2 linked regions of the Arabidopsis thaliana genome follow. The protein of the gene in region 1 interacts with the protein of each later gene in a pairwise test. Each region holds a gene or a part of one and is shown on either strand. Other genes may lie near its edges.

What was found.
Region 2: the proteins of AT5G09380 (region 1) and AT4G35540 interact in a two-hybrid assay, tested with the Arabidopsis thaliana proteins (one study listed by BioGRID).

What each region holds. Positions count from the first base shown.
Region 1 is NC_003076.8:2,909,532-2,916,058, forward strand, and holds AT5G09380 (RNA polymerase III RPC4), read right to left. Parts: upstream 3,794-6,527; 5' UTR 3,733-3,793; intron 3,630-3,732; 5' UTR 3,606-3,629; coding exon 3,579-3,605; intron 3,494-3,578; coding exon 3,438-3,493; intron 3,362-3,437; coding exon 3,301-3,361; intron 3,203-3,300; coding exon 3,166-3,202; intron 3,077-3,165; exon of another isoform or gene 3,055-3,076; coding exon of another isoform or gene 3,042-3,054; coding exon 2,967-3,041; intron 2,828-2,966; coding exon 2,775-2,827; intron 2,683-2,774; coding exon 2,622-2,682; intron 2,522-2,621; coding exon 2,439-2,521; intron 2,353-2,438; coding exon 2,137-2,352; coding exon of another isoform or gene 2,110-2,136; exon of another isoform or gene 1,932-2,109; coding exon 1,782-1,931; 3' UTR 1,646-1,781; downstream 1-1,645. Other genes in the region: AT5G09370 (Bifunctional inhibitor/lipid-transfer protein/seed storage 2S albumin superfamily protein), read right to left, coding at 1-37, 460-495, 623-944; AT5G09390 (CD2-binding protein-like protein), read left to right, coding at 4,060-4,133, 4,458-4,647, 4,773-4,898, 4,975-5,148, 5,289-5,418, 5,508-5,549, 5,689-5,860, 5,999-6,076 and 1 more.
Region 2 is NC_003075.7:16,870,713-16,876,806, reverse strand, and holds AT4G35540 (POLLEN-EXPRESSED TRANSCRIPTION FACTOR 2), read right to left. Parts: upstream 2,973-6,094; 5' UTR 2,869-2,972; coding exon 1,285-2,868; 3' UTR 1,209-1,284; downstream 1-1,208. Other genes in the region: WOX13 (WUSCHEL related homeobox 13), read left to right, coding at 287-784, 908-993; AT4G35530 (phosphatidylinositolglycan-like protein), read left to right, coding at 3,527-3,718, 4,042-4,126, 4,225-4,279, 4,483-4,621, 4,766-4,882; MLH3 (MUTL protein homolog 3), read right to left, coding at 5,280-5,438, 5,514-5,599, 5,714-5,786, 5,869-5,928, 6,031-6,079. UniProt on the Arabidopsis thaliana protein: Plant-specific TFIIB-related protein that plays important roles in pollen germination and embryogenesis, possibly by regulating gene expression through interaction with TBP2 and the subunits of RNA polymerases. Binds double-stranded DNA in vitro.

The sequences.
Region 1 (6,527 bases):
CTTGGAGCTGGAGCCCATCCTGATCCCCATACTGGAGCTGTCACACAAACATAACAAGACAAAAGTCAAAAACACAAAACCAATTCTGACATGCACACCTTTAAAGCAGCGAGGAGAGAAATCACACAACTAAATGTCAAAGTTTAACAAAATAGAGAGTTTGATAAAGCTCTTCTCATATTACATGATCATGGCACATTACAATAGAGATCACATCCGCACAAGCTTTAATTATCTTGTCGCGATGGTCACATGATACATAAAACGGAAAAAGACTAAATTCTTATTATGAAGACAATTGACTTTTACAATTCCCCAACTTCGTTATAACGCCAACCAAAACTCGATTCAAGCAAAGAGTCCAAACAAATTCCATTTCCCTTAACAAAAAATAACAATTTAGATGGCATGATAAAAAGCAGATTAAAGAATGAAATCAACAAAAAGAAAGACAAATACCTTGCCCATTAGCAGTAGGAGGACTAGCAGGAGGCACTGCAACCAAAACAAAACAAAAACTCTATTATGAATCCATAATCTGATTTATCTTAAGGATCATAAATAATCCATAAAAAAATCAAGAAGAAAAACGAGAAACAGAGAGATAAAGGAGAAATCTAACATGAATCACAAGCTGACACCGGAGGAGCATTAAGTTTACAAGCAACGGGAAGAGTAGCAGATTTAGTAACGTTGAGTTTGATTCCTAAAGGTGCCTTCTTCAACCCTTCGCATAGACATATCGGTTTCGTATCGAGAATATTTTTGAGACTGGAGCAGCATGAAGCTGTGGGTGTATCGGCCGTACCCCCGATCGATATAAAAGGTAAACATGGGAACAGGGTAATCACAAGGGTGTCGCAGTCGGAGGCTCCATGAACATAAGGAGAGGAAACAGAGAGGACGAGGAGGAGAAGAGATGTCGCTGTGGAGAAGTAAGCCATGTTTTAATTCTCTGTGTTTTTGGTTACTGATATATCAAGAATCGAGAGAGAAGAAAATGAGAGTTGTGATAGAATGAGTGAAATGTGCTGTGTTTATATATGGGTTTCAAGTGATAGAGACGACGTCGGTTTTGGTGTACACGTCATGTGTAACGCGTAATTTTTTTTGGTTCTTTTCAATGTAAAGATCCTTGCTCATTTTTATTTGGATTTTATCCTATATTAAGAGTTCTTTCCTTCTTCTTTTTTTCTGGTCAAAATATTTTTTAAAATCTATCATCGAGATTAACGTTGTTACCAAAATGATTAGATTTGTTAGAAGAATACAAAAGAAAAGAAAAAAAAGGTAGAAAAATGACCATGTAATTTCTTAAAACTCTCTTCTTAAAGTAGAAGGATTTGTATTCAAACTTTGCTTTGCTGTAATGTACTTATCTTTGTTTTTTCCTGCTGTAACCTTCTGTCAAAATTCTAAAAATGGTATAAAACTTACCATTCATACCAAGAAAACAAATGCCAAGATTTTCTTTTTAACTATATTGGGTTTATATGTTTAAAGACTAAATATTAAATATAGTAATTTTTATTAATGATTTTGCATACAATGATTCCAGTGGGTCAGTTTTCCATTGTATTGGAGATTTTAAGGGATTGGTTCAAACTTCAAATGTAGAAACCTGCTTCTTGTTGTTATTGAAACTTGAAAGTAAAACAAAACTCTTTTTTTATTTCTTTCTCAATGTCAAAAAACTATGAATGAAGAAGAATGAAAACAAACTACCAAAAAAAAAAAAGAAAGAATGAAAAAATTGATGGAACAAAAATAGTTAAAGAATATCATATATTTTCGATATCTTTCAAGATTGAATCAATATCAGGAGTCAAAACTGCATGCTTGTACACATCTCCAACCAGACAACAGTTCTTCTGCTCTGTGTTAACCACCATCACATCTTGTGCAAACTCGCTCTTCAACCCTGGGCTTACCTACAACATCCCATCACAAATCCGAGTTAGACTTTTACTACGATTAAAATGGTTTCACTTTTTCTGTATCCGAACCAAACCCGTAAAACCAAAAACATGGATTGAACACCCCTACTAGATATTAGCTAGTATTATGCCCGGTAAAAACCATATTGCAGGATCTATGGTCATAGAATACTTAGTAAACGGAAAAAGAATCACTCACATCATAAAGCACTTCCCCAAGTTTCATCTTGACAGCACCACTTTTGTAGACTAACAGTTTGCCCATGTAACCTTCTGGCAAGGCTTTTAAATCAACAGTCTTCTTCTCAACGGGGCCTTTGATATTTGGCCTTGTTTCAAGGTTTTCTGTTGGTGTTGATGCCAAAGGAACAGAAGGTAGCCTCATAAAAAACATTTTCTGTTCTCCACTATCCTCCTGCCAACAAGTGATCCACATTATGTAACTATAGAGTTTGCGTGTGAGTTTTGGTTTATCGAATTTTTATATGTAATGTCACTAACCATTAGACCGAGATTAGCGGCTGTGTTAAGTGAATCTTCATGATGTCCTCCAGCCTGCATAAACTCCTCCACGTCAAGAACCTCTGCAATAATGAGCAGCATCTTAAACATAGGCAAATGGTAATCAAGAATCTGCTTTCACAAAATTGTTTTATTTTTCTTCTCAAGCAAATATATGAATACCTGGATCTCCTGCATACGGTCTCCTCATTGGAAGTGTGATAGGGTAATAGCTGTAGTAATCCTGTGAGACAATCCAAGAATTAATTATGCATCAACATTATCGATATATGAGTTCGAGATATAACTTTAGGGACAGGGTACTGTTATACCGACCCATGGTTCTTTATACTCTATCTCCTGAGTAGAGGTTGATCCATAAGCACCATCTGCACAACAACCAGCATGTATCAACACCCCCGCAGAATTATCAAAAACTTGTGATGTGTTGTGAATACAATTGCCTATGTTTTTTTTTGTTAAAATATATAATTGCCTATGTTTTAAACAAAGAAAAGAAATTGTTACTTGATCTATTGAGGTACTTATTTGATCTGGTTGAATTCACCACTCCCCCCAACCAAGCAACTTGAGAAGCAGGAACTGTATGATACATAACAAAAACTAAATCAGTGATGTATCAAAGTGATGTTTTTTTTTACAACTAGATAACGTAGCAGCAAACAGAGTAAAGATACGAGTCTGAGTTTCAAGTTAAAGACACTACCTTTCTTGTCCGCTTTTGGCTTGCGCAATGATCTTTCCTAAGGCAAACAAAAATCAAAATTAAAGAGAACTGAGTAAGTAAGAAGACACAAGAGCAAAGACAATTTCACTCAACGATTAAAAAAAAAAAGCTTACATTAACTCTGCGTAGCAATTCCGATGCTTGTGCACTGTTACTATTATCCTCAACCACTTCACTGCATTCATAATTCAAAAGTTTCAGAAGAAAAACATCTGTTTATGTTAATCAGATCAGTCATTAGTGTTGCTTACGGTTTAACTTCAGGTTTTGGCACACGTTTGGGTGGAGCTTTTGGGGCAAACTTCATCTGCAGAAGAACGCAAAATCGAAAATTTAGCAGAGCCAAATATTTTATCTAACATGAGAAGTTAACGATGATAGCAAACACAAACCTTCCGTACTGGTGGTTTCTGCTCCATTGCAATTGAATTCAAACACTTCGACTAAATAAAAAGAACCCCAGAAGAATATTTAGTTACGATTATTCAAGTATTCGGTTAATATTTTGAAACGAAAAATTCACAGAATTAAGAATCAGAAGCTGACCTGTGACTCCAAGTTCAATGACGGCCAACAGCTTGAGAAGGAGGATGATCACCAATTAAGGAGAGAACCCATAAATTAGGGCCTGTGCCAAAACGGCGGCGTTTTAGTCTAACCATGGTAAAAAAGTAAACCGGTAAATTAAAGGAAACAGACATAGTAATTCCAAACGTTAAGCGCGCTTTTTAAGGCCCATTTTTCAGCCCATTAATACGGCCCAATTTGTAAACGTCGGCGAGAATTCATGCTTTCGTCTTATTTCCCCTCGACGGCGATTCTCACCGCCTGGAAATAAACAAATCGTCGTTGTTCTCGTCTAACGCTTGTGCAATGGCAGATAGTTCGTCGAGGAGGAACCTTAAACGATCCTTCTTAGAAGATGAAGATTCCGATAAACAACCTCCGTAAGTTTACAATCTTTTCCGAAAACCCTAATTTCCAATTTTGTTCTGCTAAGCATGACGATACGTGTTTCTTCTTTTCGTTTCCGGTTGATTGACTCAGTTTTAGGGTAGGAAAAATTGAATTAGTAGCTCTTGTTTCTTCCATCTGATTCTCTCTTCTCCTCAATTTTGTTAGACTTAGACATTGAACCTGAAATTGAATGCCAAACATATGATTGTCTTGAACTTGGAGTATTAATCAGCTTTGAAATTTGTCTCAGTTACAACTTGAGTTTGTGTGCATACGCTATAATGTGGATTCTAATGGAGGATTCTCTCTGGCAGCGAAAAGCGAGTACGGTTTCCAAAGGGGAAGAAGTCGAAACCTGAACAGCTCTTAGAGGAAGAAGCTTTAGCCCGCCGCAAAGCCCGTGATGCTGCTAAGGAGCGTGCAAAGATTCGCAATCAGAATACTACTAAGCTCTTTATCGAAGATGACAGTGATGATATTAATCAGGCTCAGGAGACTTATGAGGTAGGATTTCTACTATCCTCTTTTTGTTTGTTGACTGTTCCTGGAAGCTAATTGTGTATATTGCGAGATCTCAATGATGTTTGTTTGCAAAAAGAGTTATGCTGATGTGATTTATTTCATTGTAGGATGATGGCAATCGCACAGAAGATGGGATCCAGATTGAAGCTTTTAGTCTGGACAGAGAGAAAGAAGAAGGTTACTTTGATGCTGATGGGAACTTTGTAGAATATGTTAGAGAAAAGGAAGTCAAGGTACACATCTTTCATTGTAAAGCTTAGCTCCAAGATATCTTGTGTATTGTCTTTCATTATATGTGTTTTCTTTCAGGATGCATGGCTTGACAGTATTGAAAAAAATCCAATGTATATGGGACGATCTGCTGCAAATGATACTGAGATGGATGATGATAGTGGGAACGAAAAAGCAGGGGATGACCTTTCTCAAGATGAAATCGGAGTTAGAAAGAGGCGCATTGCTAATGTCCTTGAACCAGGAGAAACGGTGAGACTCATTCTGCGTTTTAACAAGTTTTTGTTTCAAACATGAAACATGGATTGTATTAGTTAAAAATGTCACCTTAATATAGCATTGTTGATTATACATACTTCGAACACGTAAAATAAATCGGTTTCATGTTACAGGTCTTGCGAGCTTTAAGGAGGTTGAAAGGGAATTCGAATAATCGCAAGGAGAAGATGACATCTGAGACCAAGCTTATCTTTGATCAGCTTACTGAGGATGCGGACAAGCTTATCGAGAACGGCGACTACAGTAAGTCTCTAATAACTTATGCTACTTCAACAACAAATATGATGTCCTCCATTTGTTAATATATGTGTTCCTCTTTTTATGTATTGAAGATGTTTATCATGAGGAGCAAGAAGTTTTCCAACGTGAAGCAGGTTAGAGATTCTAATACTTTTTCAATATCAGCTGTAGATGTAGCTACGTTTCCTCTGCTTTGTGATATCACCTTTTCACAACATTCGGGAACAATTGGCTTGACTTTTCACATTCTTCTTCTCTATGTTGGTCTTTTAGAAGGATATGAGAGACTAGCTCAAGCGAAAGAAAATGGGACTGCCAATATAGTATCTTGTGATATGTTTGGCGATGATGAGAATGCTCCTGAACCTTCCTCTGATCTACAACCGTCTAGCTCCATCTCGGGCACTCAGCTTAATTCTGATTATGTGTTTGATGAATCTTCAGGGTATGTTTGTATATACTCTCCTCTCGCGCTCTCTTGTTGCATAAGTCAGCTTTTTGTCCGAAGTATTGTGTTGCTAGCAATATTCATTATGAATCTCAATTTTATTTATCTAAAAGTATTCTATAAATGGTTTTGCAGGTACTACTACAGCAGCAGCCTTGGTTACTATTATGACCCGAACACTGGACTTTACTGCTACGCAACAACCGGAAAATGGTAAAATTTACTTGGGATGAGTTTAGAATTTTGAAAACCCATTACTAATCTCTTTATTCATGTGTTCATAATTTCGATTATCAGCTCAATTCTGGTTATGTGTTTGATTACAAAATATGCGTGCAGGTACAGGTACGATGAAGAGACTAAGGAATATAAAGAGGTGGTTTCTGAAGTTGCTACTGAAGAAGTTTAATTTTCGTTTGTCTGTACTTTTGACTAACACAGGGTCTTGAAATATTTCCCTTGTTGTTTTTAGTTTGAAAGTAAGCACATCATACATGAGTTTATATAAATATATTTGGATTTATTGGTTTTCTCATTGATTTATGAGAAATTATAGAGATGAAAGTAAATTTGGACAATCTTATAATTGTATGAACAAAATTAGCTGTGAAGAAAGAAAACGAAATTATGAAACAGAGCCTGAGAGGTTATCGTAATCCTCACA
Region 2 (6,094 bases), on another chromosome or scaffold:
TTGGTGTATGGGTAATTGAAAATTCTCTGCCTTTTAAGCATTTGTTGGCTTAAATCTGATTCAAAGACCAATCCTTTTCGTGGATTTTTGAGCTAAGAATAAGGAAAATAATGGTTCTTGAGGAATTCTAGAATCACTCCTTTGAATCTTTCAATTGAGCTTCGAGAATTTCCCACCAAAATAGGTGTTTTTAGCTTGATGATGTGTTCTTGAGATATAAAGTTTCAGTTTTTTTATTTAGTTTAACTTTTAACAACTCTGCTCATTTGTCTGTTGTTGGTAACAGGAGGGAGAATGGGAGGACTATATGCAGACCCAATGATGTCATCTTTAGGTCATAAGATGACAGCTAGACAGAGGTGGACTCCTACGCCAGTCCAGCTTCAGATTCTGGAACGTATATTCGATCAAGGCACGGGAACACCGAGCAAGCAGAAGATCAAAGACATAACAGAAGAGCTGAGCCAACACGGCCAGATTGCTGAACAAAATGTCTATAACTGGTTCCAGAACCGACGTGCTCGATCCAAGAGGAAGCAGCATGGTGGAGGTTCTTCTGGAAATAATAATGGTGAGTCTGAGGTAGAGACTGAAGTTGAAGCATTGAATGAGAAGAGAGTAGTGAGGCCAGAGAGTCTTCTTGGTCTTCCAGATGGAAATAGCAACAATAATGGGTTAGGGACAACAACAGCAACAACTACTGCTCCTAGGCCTGAAGATCTTTGCTTTCAGAGCCCTGAGATTAGCTCAGACCTTCACTTGCTAGATGTTCTATCAAACCCAAGTAAGTAACAAAGATACCTTTTTAGTTCACACGTAACTGAAAAAAACAGAGACATTGGCTTTGAAGAAATAGTCAAGTAAGTTGTGTCTGTCTCAGATAATTTCTTGTGATTTGTGTTTGTAGGGGATGAGCATCTTGTTGGAAAGATGGGACTGGCGGAAAGTTACAACCTTTATGATCATGTTGAAGATTATGGCATGTCAGGCTGATTGAATACAAGCTGAGGAAACTTCTAATTATCAGAGAGATCAATGAAATGGATTTGGTAGTCAGTCATAAGCAGTATTAGACTTTTGTTTTTCTTAAATTGTTTCTTTCAGGGCTTATTAAAGAAACAAGTAGTTTATCTTATTAATCATTTTCAGAGAAACATTTACATGGATTGTTGAATCGTCTTGTGATGCTTGCTTTGATAATTTCTGCATTCAGAACGATTTTTACATCCTTAAATGAATTATACTGTAAGAAATAAAAAAATTCCAAGAGAAAAACATTTCAATTCAAACCTCTCCAGAGTTGAAAACATGCAAGTCTAACAAAGTTTTGTAATGGCCTTTCTCTATTTCTTCCTCATTCACATTGTGTAAGACCAGAGTCTGTATAACCAAATCCTCCCAATCAATTTCAGATCCTTTCTTCCTTTTCTTCTTGCTATGTTCAAGCTCCAAAGACAACGCACCTTCACTAACATTGTCAGAAGGATGTTGTATTGCATTAATCCGCAACTTAGCTGCCTTAATCTTTTCTCTTCGTCTTTCAACTGCAACGCAACCCTTTATGTAAGAAGGAGGCAAAGCTTCAAGCCCTACATCTTTCTCCAACAAGTCTTTGAGCAAAAGCCTTTTACTCAATTCCGATTTCCCTTTCCACCAATTTTCAGTTGACACCATTCCAAAAACAGATCTCCTTTGCCACATACTCTGACTACTTCCCTGACTTCTTTTCGCAAGAGTCCCACCACAAACTCGATCCTCAAATTCATTATACTTTGTAGACAACTGATTCTCCGATATATTATCATCATAGTTACATAAACTAAGCTGACGTTCACCTTCTACATCAAAATACCGAGACATAGTATCTTGACGAGCATCATCATCATAACAATACATAGATTCTTTGCTTAGGCAGTCCATCACTAAATCCTCCACACAAAATCCATCAGTTCTAACTAATTCTTTCCCAGTCCCTTGTTTTCTCTTTTTCATGGACTTGGCTTCCATTAAAGCAAACAAAGTTCCTGAATGTTTCAAAACATTCTTCACAGTAACATCTTTCGCCCAAGGCAAACCCACCTCTTCAGCAACCTTCACAAGCTTCTCAGATAACTCTTTATACCGCGTTTTACAAGTAGTCAACGAAACACTAGCATCTTTCGCCAAATCATCAATCTTTACCTTCACACCATTCACTTGAACAACAAACGCCAAAACAGCCACAACCAAAGGCATTGGTCTCCTCCCCGTCGACAAAAACCATTTCAACGCACAATTCATCAGGAAAGTCCCTTGCTTTATTATCTTCTCCTTCTTATCCCTATCAACATCAGTCAATCTCGGTGAATTAGTAACCGTCTTGGTAAACAAACCCACAAGATCAAACTCTCGCAATTCCAAATCTAGATGATCCACAACACGCTTAATCATAGGCCCTAACTGATGCAAATCACATCCAACTTCATAAGCAACCTCTTCCATAGACAAAACACCTTTCCCTTCTTCTCTTACCACAGCATAACAACAAGCTCCAATCAAAATAGGGAACCACTCACCTTGTCCAAATTCCCCATCAGTAAGCTTACTAATCATACTCTTAATCACTTCAGTTTTATTACCAAGATTCAATCTTTCTGTTGTCTCCTCAATTAAATTGTTGGCTTCATAGATCTTCTTGTCTTTATAATCAAGAACAGAGCCTCTACCAATGGTGCCTACTCGTATATATGTACCTTGAGGTCCTCTTATGCCGCCAAGTTGTGCCTCATAATTATCATACTCTCGTAATGTCCCACATCCACCGCAATACGAATTCCCCGTGTCTTCGTCGCGTTCAAAGTTGCTTCCATTGCATCTCTTGCAACGCATGATTCAAACCGAAAGCTTCACACTTTAAATTACGGGTTTTTTTTTCCGACAAGCAGAAGAATGAGATTCGGATCGCCGGCGAATCGAGAAGTACTGGAGAGAGAAATCAAAACTAATTAAGATTTGACCTTTCCTTAAAAATAAGCTAGGTTTTTATATTGTCGAGATGAAAACGGCATGATGTTAATATGAATAAAACAAAAACGCCAGGGTGTTTTATTTAGGACGCCACACAGTTTGTATTATTTTCTCTCTTTTGGCTTTTTGTTGTCTCCTCCACCATAGTGCCGTCTTTTATCTCTTTACCGGTAAGAGAAGCCGGTTTCAGATTTGATCAATTCGAAGAATTGTGGCTTTCGTTCGTTGGGTGAATCCTTGCTTCGTCCTTTTTGATAGATTGCTACTGTGTTTTCGAGGAAGTTGTGTGGAGATAGTTAGAGAGATTTATGAGATTTCAAGAGGGGTTATTATAACGCACGCATGGTGTTCGACGGAAAGCCGCAGAGAAGTTTTGTTGCTATCCGATTTGACTGAGACTCAAAGTTTGAAAATTGTTACTTGGGTATTGAGAAAGCTAACCTTGGGCAGGTTCGTATATGAGTTGGGAGTAAAACGACGGTGATACATTTGACTGTTTTTCAACTAAACTAGCTTTGAAATGGTGAGCTTGTCTGTTTCGAATAAGAGATACACTTACATACACGAAAGTGGAAGTAAGTCAACTAGAGAAGCCATTGATATTCACCATGTGATTATCAACGGAAGCAGCGGAACTGGTTATGCCCGTCGTTGGGGGCTTGGTTTCTTCCTTGTGTTTCTGGCGAGTTCTATGTACTTTTTGCTTGGAAAGGTAATTATGCTCTTAGAGAAAATTTGGTTGTTGCCGTTTGTTATTTTGATGTGAATCTGCTTGACATTTGAGTGATTCTGATGCATTGCTTAGAACAAGTGTTGCTAGTACATATCATGAGAAAGGCATACCATTTTGTTTCTTAGGATTGGTGATGGAGTATAGTTTGATATTTTCATTCTGTTGTGAGCATTATGTTAATACATGACAAGGTTTGTATAAAAGCACTTTTCTTTTTTTGTGTTACTTTACAAGCTTGTTTTGTTGTTGTTCCATTTGTTTCTTCTTCACTTAAGTTGAAAGGGATAATTCACATGAAACAGGACAATCCAGCTAGAACTCTTTCTTGGGGCTGCCTTTTAAGTGGTTTCTTGGTTATGCTACATAGTCGCAAGTTCGTCAAGAAAGGTGAGATCCTGGTTCATCCTGATACACGCTTTACAGGCTTACCAAATGATATCAGCTTCACGTTTTAACTAATTCTAGCTTTTCTTTGATTTCTTCAGAATCTGTGATAATCTTGCCAACCTTCGGGATCCAACTTGAAACTCAATATTTAAGGTATGCTTTATCCATTTAGTTAGTATTCTGTTGTCTGCACTCCATGATGGCTTAATGCTTTGAACTACTCCGTATTAGTGGTCTCTAAGATAGGTGGTAATGGTTGAATTTGTTGTAATTATCATGAACCATTATGATCTATGCTTTTAAGTTTTACCAATCATACAAGTACCTACTTTTTTGTGCATGCTTCTGCTTTGCAGTGGAAAAACTGTCTCCAGGTTTATCCCTATTGACAAGATTTTGAAGCCTGTGTTGGTCGAATGTGTCACTCCCATTACGTGTTACTGGAGTCTCTCTTTATTTCTTCGTGGTGAAGAACAACTTACATTGGTGTTTAAGGTAATGGCACCAGTTTGTTTCATTACATTGTGAGAGAAAAACTTCTGCTGACAACTTTGAGAAACAATCTAGAGTTACCAATTATTCAATTCGGGAATATTACTTATAGCAATTGATTTTGAGTTCAATTTCCTCTTTGGACAGGAACTGCGTCCTCCATTGAAGATGTTGGTTCCCATTTGGAAAGCATTGTGTGCTGCTATCGGTACAGACCACCAAAGTGAAACGATAGCTGAAGAAGAACATGATGTATCTAGTTAACTGCAGTTGTGATTAGAGAACTTGTAGATTTGTTACTTGTTGTTGGCAGTTTTGTTTGGAAGATGATCACACAATATGTTCTGTAATGGGAGAATTGACTTGACACAAAAAAAGAAAAAAGAAAAAAACTCTTTGAGTGGTGAACATTTGGATATCATTTGTCAATGAACTTTTCTTTTGTACATATTAAATCGAATGCAAAGAGTACAATGAGTTATATCAGCTTACAAACTCTCTAGTGTAGTACTATTAACCTATAAAAGCTTTACACTGTCTACGGGTACTGTAAGAAAGTAGTTATTTGCTGAGTAATACAACTATACATCCAAGTAGAAGATTTACAGTATGACTAAAGAGTATAGCAACCTGGGAAGGCTATGATACAGCTGCAACTTTTTTAACTTTTAGCGTTGTCTAAGCGTGATTTTGCACGATCAAGTGTAATTTCTCTGCGTTGTAAGCCATGCCACACTTGTCTTCCACTGAGCTTTGCTATCTGTTTGTGCAATGCCTTCAAATCGACAAGAGGAACTGTTGTAGGTCGCCCATGAGCACACTGTACACAGACTTAATGGGTTAATTTGATTAAAGAGATGAATTCCTTTGGTAGGATTTGATGTTTCTTACGCACCTGGAAACAAAGTGAGGTCTGCTTCAGTCCATCAATGATTAAAGAGCATTCTGACGGTAACAGACTATCTCCAAACATAATTGCACCTTAGCAGTTGTAAGAAAAACACAGTATCAGCCGAGAAACTAAGTGATGAATGGCAGTCACTTACTCATCCTTGCACATACAAAACAATTCTGAAGAGATAAGGAATATACTACCTCTACAGGCTTTGGAATTTAGGACTCGAAGAACAGATGGAGGAATAGTTGATGATCCGTCAGTATCAGCAAGCTGGTTTGCAAACGTTGAGTAAGAATTTAAAGTACGAAAAAGAAAAGAGTAGCCATGTGTGTATACACGATTCTAAGTGTACCTGCTGAAGAAACTCTAATAGATCAACATCTGATAGATTTACACCCAGAATGCATGGAACCTACAAGTGGGGTAAACAGAGTGATGATTCAAGTGAGTATAGAAACTCTTTTAACAGGCAAAAGCAGTAAGTTGAATGAAAGAGGTAGACTAATCGCCTTACCGCATTAAGTGTGATTGGTGTTGGTTTCCGCTGGATGATGCTCATGTTTCTGTAGAAAAGGAAA